Linked DNA regions of Caenorhabditis elegans. The protein of the gene in region 1 purifies or fractionates together with the protein of each later gene. This does not show direct contact. Each region holds a gene or a part of one and is shown in the gene's direction. Other genes may lie near its edges.

Region 1 (5,127 bases):
AGCATGCCAAATTGAGAGTGAGAAAAGAGCCCAAGCCTTCTTCGTCTTCACTCCCACAACGGCTTATCGTCCGTGCTATTGAGTAGGCAGGCAGCGTTGCGCGACCACGCTAGCCCCCTGGAGCCACTTCTCCAAATTTTTTCTTCTTTTTCTCTCTTTTTTTTTGTTGTTCTTTCACGTTCTAATTTCCTTAGTAGTTTGTTTTTTTTCACAAGTTTTATTGCCTAATTTCATTGTCTGGTTAAAGAGCAATGAACATTGAATGAGTTTTAAAAGTTGAAGAAAAGTAATGAACCTGAAAATTATGACACGCAATGAGAATTTTGATGGGTGCAATGTGCACTCAGAAAATACTTAACTAGTTGAGACTCTATTCTAGAAAATTAAGAAGACTGTTCCAACGTGAAATATATTAAAAGTGGAGTAGCGCCAGTGGGTAAATTGTTAAAAACTACTTTCTATGGACCCAAAATGACCAAATATCATCATAAAACTTTTCAAATAAATTTTGAAAATTTTTTATTAACTGTCAAAAAGAGGCAATTACTCAGTTTTGCCACTCATAATTTTAGAAGTCGACGAAGGAAAAATTTTTCCTACGTATTTTATACTTTGTTCAAATAAATTGTAATAAAACATTGTAGGGGTAGGAACATGCGACATTGCTTTGAATTTAGTAAAAAGCTCATATTTTTCAACATTTTGGAAATTTGGACACAATGTTTATGAAATAGTGGTAATTGATAAAAATTAAATTCCAGACGCTGTGACACCAAGAAGTTGGCAAAATATTTGATTTTAGTCGAACATGAGCTTTGATTTCCAGAATTTTGAAACGTGATAACTTTTTATGAGTACTTTTCAAAATTTCTTATTACATAATTCGGTAGTTTTGGGGCATTTTTGGTTTAAAGTCGCAGATTTCGGTACTCCACCTTTTTTGATAATTTAACACAATTTTGGTAATCACTTTCTATTATTTTTCCTATCAGTATTGCATTCTCCTATTAACTGAATTGAAATCTCGGGGCTGAAACTTTATTTTCAGCGGTCTTACATGAATCAGGATACCTAAAATTTTAAAACGTATAAAAAACTCAGCGATAATAACTGAAGGTTCAGAATTTTACATTCTCGCAAATTTTGAAGTACGTTTTTTTTTAATTAAAAAGAGTTCCATATTTACAGTTGAAATCGGTTCGTATCAAATTTTAACAAATACGAAAGAAAATTCTCGTATAGATCGTTTTCAGTATTTTTTTTCTGAACTTTCATTATTAAAAAATATTTTCTCAAAGTTCTTTTCCTCAATTTGTCGCATCAGATATATTAGGATTTTAATTATATTATACATATTTTATTCAATGGCCTTCAGAAATTATTTTGCATTCTCTAATGTAATTGCGTTCCCTAGGCATCCAGAATAAGTATTGCTCCAGAAAAAAATACGGTATAAAAACCATAACCAAGACTACGTTGTTGGCATTTACTATATCTGGAAAACTAACAATTCTTGCGAAGCACTCCACTAGATTTCCTTCCGATTCCTCTTCTCCAATTTTTTATTGATCCTTTTTTTGTCAGGACCACTGGGGGGATGGATGGACTTCTTTTTCCTATCCCATCCCTCTTAACGGGCCCTTTCTGATTCTCTCGAAGCCTGTGCATCTCTCACTTTTTTTAGTGAGTACTCCCCAGGGCAGTAGCAGTGCAAAGAGCTGTGCTCTGTGTGCATTGTGTACTGCTAAATTCCTGCCAATTCATTGAAATATGACAAGTTGGGTTTTTCTCGCATTTGAATCGTTCTCTCAACGTCACTTCCAACATTTGTACCATAAACGGAAATCAACACTATAGATTTCAGAACCAGGAAAGCTGCTCAGGAGCAGAATCAAAAAAAATCCCCGTTTGGAATCCAAGGAAGCTTAAAACTTAGCCGCATGACTGCGCTCGTCAATCGGGCAAAGTCTGCACATGTTTGAAGCTCTCAAGGTGAGTACAGATTTTTTTCTGATTGAGTGGGTTGTTCTAAATTATGATCAAATGTGATGTCACTTTTTTTAAAGTTTAAAAAGACTCAGACTTTGTTAAATTGTACAATTTTAAAAAAACTTGAAAAGTACTGATCACTTAATACCCTTAATGATTACTTAATAGTTATTAATAATTTTAATGCACGGTTCATTAATATTATGCAATTGACAATTCAAAAAGATAATTATCTTCTAAATTAATAGTTTTCCAAAAAAAAAGAACACTGTATTGAAAATTTTGAATATAGTTCAAATTTTGGTAAATGCGTAACTTTATTAATCATTTGATTTTCTCACATTCTGTCCCTCAATTCTAATAATCCATTCATTTCGCCGTAATGACGTCCAGTCGACTTTTGATTCCACGTGTTTCTGGGTGCAAAGGAAGCCGCCTGAGCCCCGCTTAATCCGCATTGGGAATAGTCTGGAGCATTTGCTCCATCGTCATGCTCTTTTTAACTTGAATTTGGGGGGAGGCAGGCAAAACTACATTATTCAGTCACGTCCTACTTGTCCACTTTCGCCCATTTCAGAGGCATTTTAATGATAGGATTGGGAGCGGTTTTGGTAGATTTCTAGTTGAGATTACATTTAAAGCGTACGATTTTTGTTTTATTTTTTGGTGGTTTTAATCATTATCAGTTTTCGATTGGGAAAAAGCCTGATATCCAAGTTCTCAGAAACGTTCATAATAATTATAGACAATATTGGCAAAAATGCTGTGAGTTTTTTTAAAAATAACATTAAAAAATAACAATAACAAAATCTTTTTGAGTGTTATACATTTTTTGTTAATATTTCACATGGTTTTATGCTTTTATGCCTATTTCTTAAAATACTTTTGATTATGGCTTTTGAAATAAAACCTTTTGAGGACTTTTTTGAAAATCGCCAAAACAAGTTTTTAAATAGAAATTTGTACTCAAAACGCGTCAGACCGCTAACGTCAGTGACGTCTTCCTTGTTCTTTCCACCTGGCTTAATATACACAATCAAAATATTTTCCTGTAAAAAAATCTATATTATTGAAGCGTAAGAGCTAGATTTGATAGTTCCATTGAGAATAATTCAAAATTAACCAACCTATCTTTTTTTCTCCTCAATTCTAAATCATATTGTTTTCTGTTATTTGTTTGAGTGTATTCCAAGAAGAGGAAATAGATGAAATTGGAAAAACGAAAAATGAAAGTCCGAATTTGAATCTGAATCCACGAATCTCGGAATCCCGAAATTGAATTTGAGCCACCCCTCTGAGTCAGAGAGCCCCCATCCCCTCGGCTTTGGCTCTTTATTGTATCATTTTGCCAAAGCCTTTCGAGTTCTTGATTTCAAAAATGTTTCGCAATTTCTGTATAATAAGTAATGATATAATATGTAAAAACCAGTATGAAATATTTCCATTGCATTGTTTCATACTTAAGAGTCGTGAAATTGTTCCAAGTGAGAATTTACAGACATTAAATGATTTGACGATTGTCTAGAGGTACGTGAACACTTTGGCGGGTTTTTTTTGGGGAAAACTGTCAGAGAAAAGTAATCTGAGCATTTTCACAAAATTTCCGAACTACTTTTCTCTGTTTCCTAGTGCTCCTCTGCTGCTAAACATTTTTTATAAGAAAAAACCTCTCTTGAATCCCCCAGTTAATACGTTTTCTCATTGACGCCACATCATTTTGTCTTTAATTCTCTTCCAATTTTGGCACCACCACCCACTACAAAAACCATCGGGGGATGAGGTGAGAGAAAAAGACAAAGAGCGTGGGGGGAAAAAGGGAAGAAAAAAAACGAAACGGATGAACTGACATTCGCAAGGAGAAAACGAAAGCGAGCCGTATACAACACACTATTCTAAGCCCATTCGAGCTTCGGCAGCTCTGTTGCACAGACAACGAACCGAATCAATATTAAGACGAACAAAGTCAGTGAAGAAATTGAAAAGGATACGGATACCTCTTCCTCCTCCCCCCCCCCCATTTTTTTCCTCGTTTCCTCCCTCTAATACATCTTCGCCTCTTTTTCTCAAAGTGCCTCCGGTGTGCCAACGGTGCTTCTCACCCTTTTCATCTTCTACTTGACGTCCTTGAGAATTGAATGAGGGAGGAAACCGAGAATGGACTCTTATTATACTAGCTTTCCGGCTCCTATTCCCAGCGAACCTTGCTTTGTAAGTTTATCTTTTTGTCATACCAAAATTGGACTGAAAATCGGAGCACCGTCTTGACTCATCTTGGGTAAAATCGCCTGTTTTGTACGGTTTTTTTGTTCAAAATATATCTTCGTATGAAAATTTATTTCTACCCATTGTTTATCTAAAACTTTTACCAAGATGTTTGTTACTGTTCACCGTTTCTATTCTAAAGTGTCGAATTTTCAAATCTCATAATTTTTGAAGAATTTTCGAATGTAGAAAAGTATTTCTGTTTGGTTTTATCCTGATTAAGCTTCTATTAGTTAATTTTAAAGTTTTTTTTTTTGAAAAACCTAAACCTTTCTTAGTTATCGTAAATTTTGACTTCTTGATCGGCAATGATTTGGAGCACTTGATTGCAATGGTAGAGTTAGAATTTGCTCGATATTATATTGAAAAAAATTCCAAAACACCCAATTTGTAACGATGCCTTTTGGAAAATTAAAAAAAATGTTTATGGCGGTTCAAAATGTTGTTTTCTGAAAACTTTGAAGTTGGCTCAAAGGGGAAATGATTTTTAGATTTTAATGATATTTGATCAGTGTGACACAGAAACATCATAAAACGCTGATTCAAACATTCTCAGGTAAACGCTACTTTGAGAAATTTTGATTTATGTCAGATTATCTCACCAGGTACAAATGTGCATTGGTACCAGACTGCACTAGGGTAGACTGGCAAGTTTTGCATTAACATTGTATATCAAACTTAAATTTTTTGGTGTTTTCGGTTTTCGGTTTTCGGTTTTCAATTTTCCATTTTGCACGAGTTTTTAGCCGCATGCAAAAATTTATGCGCAGCCGACATCAATGGAGGTCCGCAAGAAATAGCTTGACCTCTGAAAACTTGTGTCGCCCACTCAATACTAGTGAAAAATATATCACCGTCCCTTTGATCCAAACTTTT
Region 2 (3,547 bases), on another chromosome or scaffold:
GATCTGAACTTGCAAAAGATATATTTCTTGAAAACAATGAATTCTTACAAGCTCAATTCTAAATACGGTAGCTTTGGCGTCAGATGCGGAAGTGGACCAATTCTTCAAAATGTCAAGTTGGAACACTACTTGCCTGCAATGCTACACTTGATTGTCGGACTGTTCACGAAATACATCTTTGAGCCGATTTGGATGGCCGTTGTGAGTTTAGACAATAAAACATCATTTGAAATTCGAAGAAATAAAGAAGAGACAAAAAGAGTTGCCGATTTGAAGATTCAAGACGCGAACAAAAAATTCGAAGCTTCACCACTTAAGAGAAAAAGAGAGATGAAAGCACAGTTTACTGCTCTGAAAGAAGAAAAAGTGTTATTGGACGAGACGCTGGATGGACTTGCTGGTGGATATCTTAAACAATTTGAGAATGATCTGGAAGAAGTTGGTGCAACACGCCGAGCGTGGTTTCAAATGTACACTGGAAATCACACGAAGCTGATTTTGTCTGAGAAAGGTGTCACAGCTGCATTCAAAAATCTGAAAAACCACATGACTCCGATGCTTCTGAATGTCAAGAACGCGATGAGCAGGCTGTCCAAAATCATGTCATTGTCGGCCAATCGATTGCTCTCTGACGATGACATCAGCGAATTGGATGAGTCGATGAAGGAATTCGTTGAATTCCTACAAGCTGCCCACCCAGAAGAATCAATCACTCAAAAATTGCATGTCCTGGTTGCTCACGTAGTAGAAGTCGCAAAAACGGAAAGGAATTTGGGAAGGCTTTCGGAGCAAGGAATCGAATCGCTTCATGCCGTTTTCAATCGCCTCGAAAGACGCTTCCACTCGGTTAGAAACACAGGGAAAAGATACCTGTACATTGCTAAGGAGCTGTCATGTAGCAATCTAATTTCTGATATGGAGGAAGTAAGTGGAACCTTTCAAAAAAACAAATCGTAACATTTTCTTTGCAGGACGCCTCGTCTTCCCAATAAACCACCCAGCGCTCTCCCTCACACAATTCTGAACCTTTTCGCAATTAAAATTTCGGGATTTCCTCAATATCATAAAATTCGGGATTTTCTATGGTTAGTTGTGCTTAAAATTATTAAAAAATTATTAATTTCATTAAATTTCAGGTAAAAACATTGACAAGCAGATACTCGGTGCAAATTTGATGGATTTCTCATCAATATTTTGTCGAGGATATTATAAGCGGAGATGCTCCACATGGTTTCTTTCAACTTGGAAAATTGTCGATGTGACACCTTAGGATTCTATCGAAAAGCTAAAATTCAGGATTTCCTTCGGTTTGTTGGGATTAAAATTATTCGAAAATAATTGATTTTATGAAATTTCAGATTGAAACCTTGTCAATGAGCTACTCAGCAAAATTTCGATGGATTTATCTCAAAAAGTTCACCAGGAGTCGAGGCAATTAAGAAATTTCACCGGGTTTCCTTATTTTCGAAAGTTTTACCAAGAAAAATTTCAACTTGCATCCGTAAAGCGAAGAAGGAGGCTGATTCCACATATTAAATTCGTTTTTTGAATCGATTTGTATGTATTTTTCAATTTTCAATCTTCCGTTTCGATTATTTCTTTGTTTTACTGTTCAAAATTAATTTTTCTGTGTTTCAATAATTCAATTCTCAATTGTTAGCTACTAAATTGAATAATAAAATCTATTTTTTATTTTTTTTTTCACCTTGAAACTATTAATTCTGCCTTTTTTCTGCTAAAATTTGCTTCAAAAATCTATTTGCCGCTGCAATGTTTTGCGGACTACGGTACGCAAGTACGCAAACACCGCGATGACACATTGCGGACCATTTCACTGCGTACCTGCGAGATCTTTCTCAAATTTTACGAGAGATCTAGTTTTTGTGATACCGTGTGAAAGATTAGTTGCGCTAATCAAAAATGTCCTGTACAAAGTCCTTGGGAAACAAGTTGTTACGATTTTGGAGCTGGAAACGCTGGTAATTGAAACAGAAGGAATAATTAATTCAAGGCCAATAACACCAAACAAGAAAGATCCGGACGATGCTCCAGCGATTCGACCAGCAGATTTCATATCGTATAATGCTCAACTGACACGGCCAGAACATCACAAATCGATATTCGAAGCGATACAAGGTGGAGAAAGTGGAAAGTTGACGAGACAGTTGATGGAGAAACTCAGAATTATCAAGGAACAGCTATGGAAGGAGTTCAGCAAGTCATATATAGCAGCATTGAGAGATGTGGAGCATCATAAGAAGGCGACGTCGAGGCTGAAACCTGAAATTGGTCAAGTGGTTTTGGTATTCCAGAAATTGCTACCGCGTTATGCATGGCCAATGGCGAGGATCGTGGAGCTGAACAGGAAAAATCCAGATGGAGAGGTGCAATCTGTGATGGTAAAAATGGGAAAGAGAATTGTCGAGAAACCAGTGAATCTGCTGATTCCACTGGAGAATACGGGAATTCGAATTCAAGTTGCTCAGGAAGAGGAAGGGCCAGACGATGACGTGGCAGTCGAGGACGTGGATGCGGCCGATGAGCAGGAAGCGGGAACGGCTAAAAATCCAGAAGAAGATATTCCGAAGGAAGGCGCAGTGACCGAAGAACAGGATGTGAATGTTGACAAGGATCCAGAAGAGGAGCGAGAAGATGGACGTGCACACCTGAAAAGAGCTGCAAAAACAAGACCTCTCAGAATTCCAGCCAAATTCAGAGAGTTTTCTTTCCCTGGAGTGTCGCGCAGAACAGCTCTACGCGAAGGAAAGAAGGAAGAAATCGATAATCGAGTGCGGCGGAGCGCATTTGCATCGACAGAAATGCGGCAAAACGTTAGGTTTAAATATTAAATTTTGACCTGCCAGTAATTCCCTTTTGTGTACAATTTGTTCCTTTACCCGCCAAAAATTTATTGTTAATTTGCTCTCTTCTTGTTTTATCATCCTTCAATTTCTCAAACTATTCATTCCTCCCGCAGAACCCACCTAGGGGTATGTAGGGAGTTTTACTCCGGTCTCTCTATTTCCTCATCAACATCACTTCACTAATATGTTCACCTGGATTGCTATCATGCTCATCAATTTGCACTTTATTGTATCTCAACACTTTATTGTATCAAACCAAATAGTAATTCAATAAATGAAAATGCGGAAGGCTAAATCGTTCTGAAGTTATTGATTTCACTGGGGATCCCGCTTCTGGAGTTGGATCCAAGTCGAGGAGCTGTAAGATTCGTCGTCTCATTATGGCGAACGACAGTAAATATTGCTTTCAACCTGATTTTTTGTAAGTAATGTAATGTTGAAGCATTATTCTTCATAGTTCAGCACTTTGTATGGCTTATTTGAGCCCAAGGCAAATACTCCCAATAGTACGTTCTCTAACTCTTACCACTCTAACTCTTACGCGTGCTCTAATGCTTACGTGATCTTATGCTTACAAAATATTGCTCGCATGCTTACGTGTCTCTTATACTGACAAAGTGCTCATTGTCCGTATAAGAGAATTCGCAGTACTTCAAAAGCTCCCACTCATACAATTTTCTAAA

What was found.
Region 2: the proteins of sad-1 (region 1) and Y20F4.8 fractionate together in Caenorhabditis elegans (co-fractionation; one large-scale study listed by BioGRID). This does not show direct contact.

What each region holds. Positions count from the first base shown.
Region 1 is NC_003284.9:13,497,400-13,502,526, reverse strand, and holds the start of sad-1 (Serine/threonine kinase SAD-1), read left to right. Parts: upstream 1-1,864; 5' UTR 1,865-1,974; coding exon 1,975-1,992; intron 1,993-5,127. UniProt on the Caenorhabditis elegans protein: Regulates both neuronal polarity and synaptic organization when bound to strd-1. Kinase activity is required for the establishment, but not the maintenance, of both processes.
Region 2 is NC_003279.8:2,048,442-2,051,988, reverse strand, and holds Y20F4.8 (DUF5641 domain-containing protein), read left to right. Parts: upstream 1-1,811; coding exon 1,812-2,849; downstream 2,850-3,547.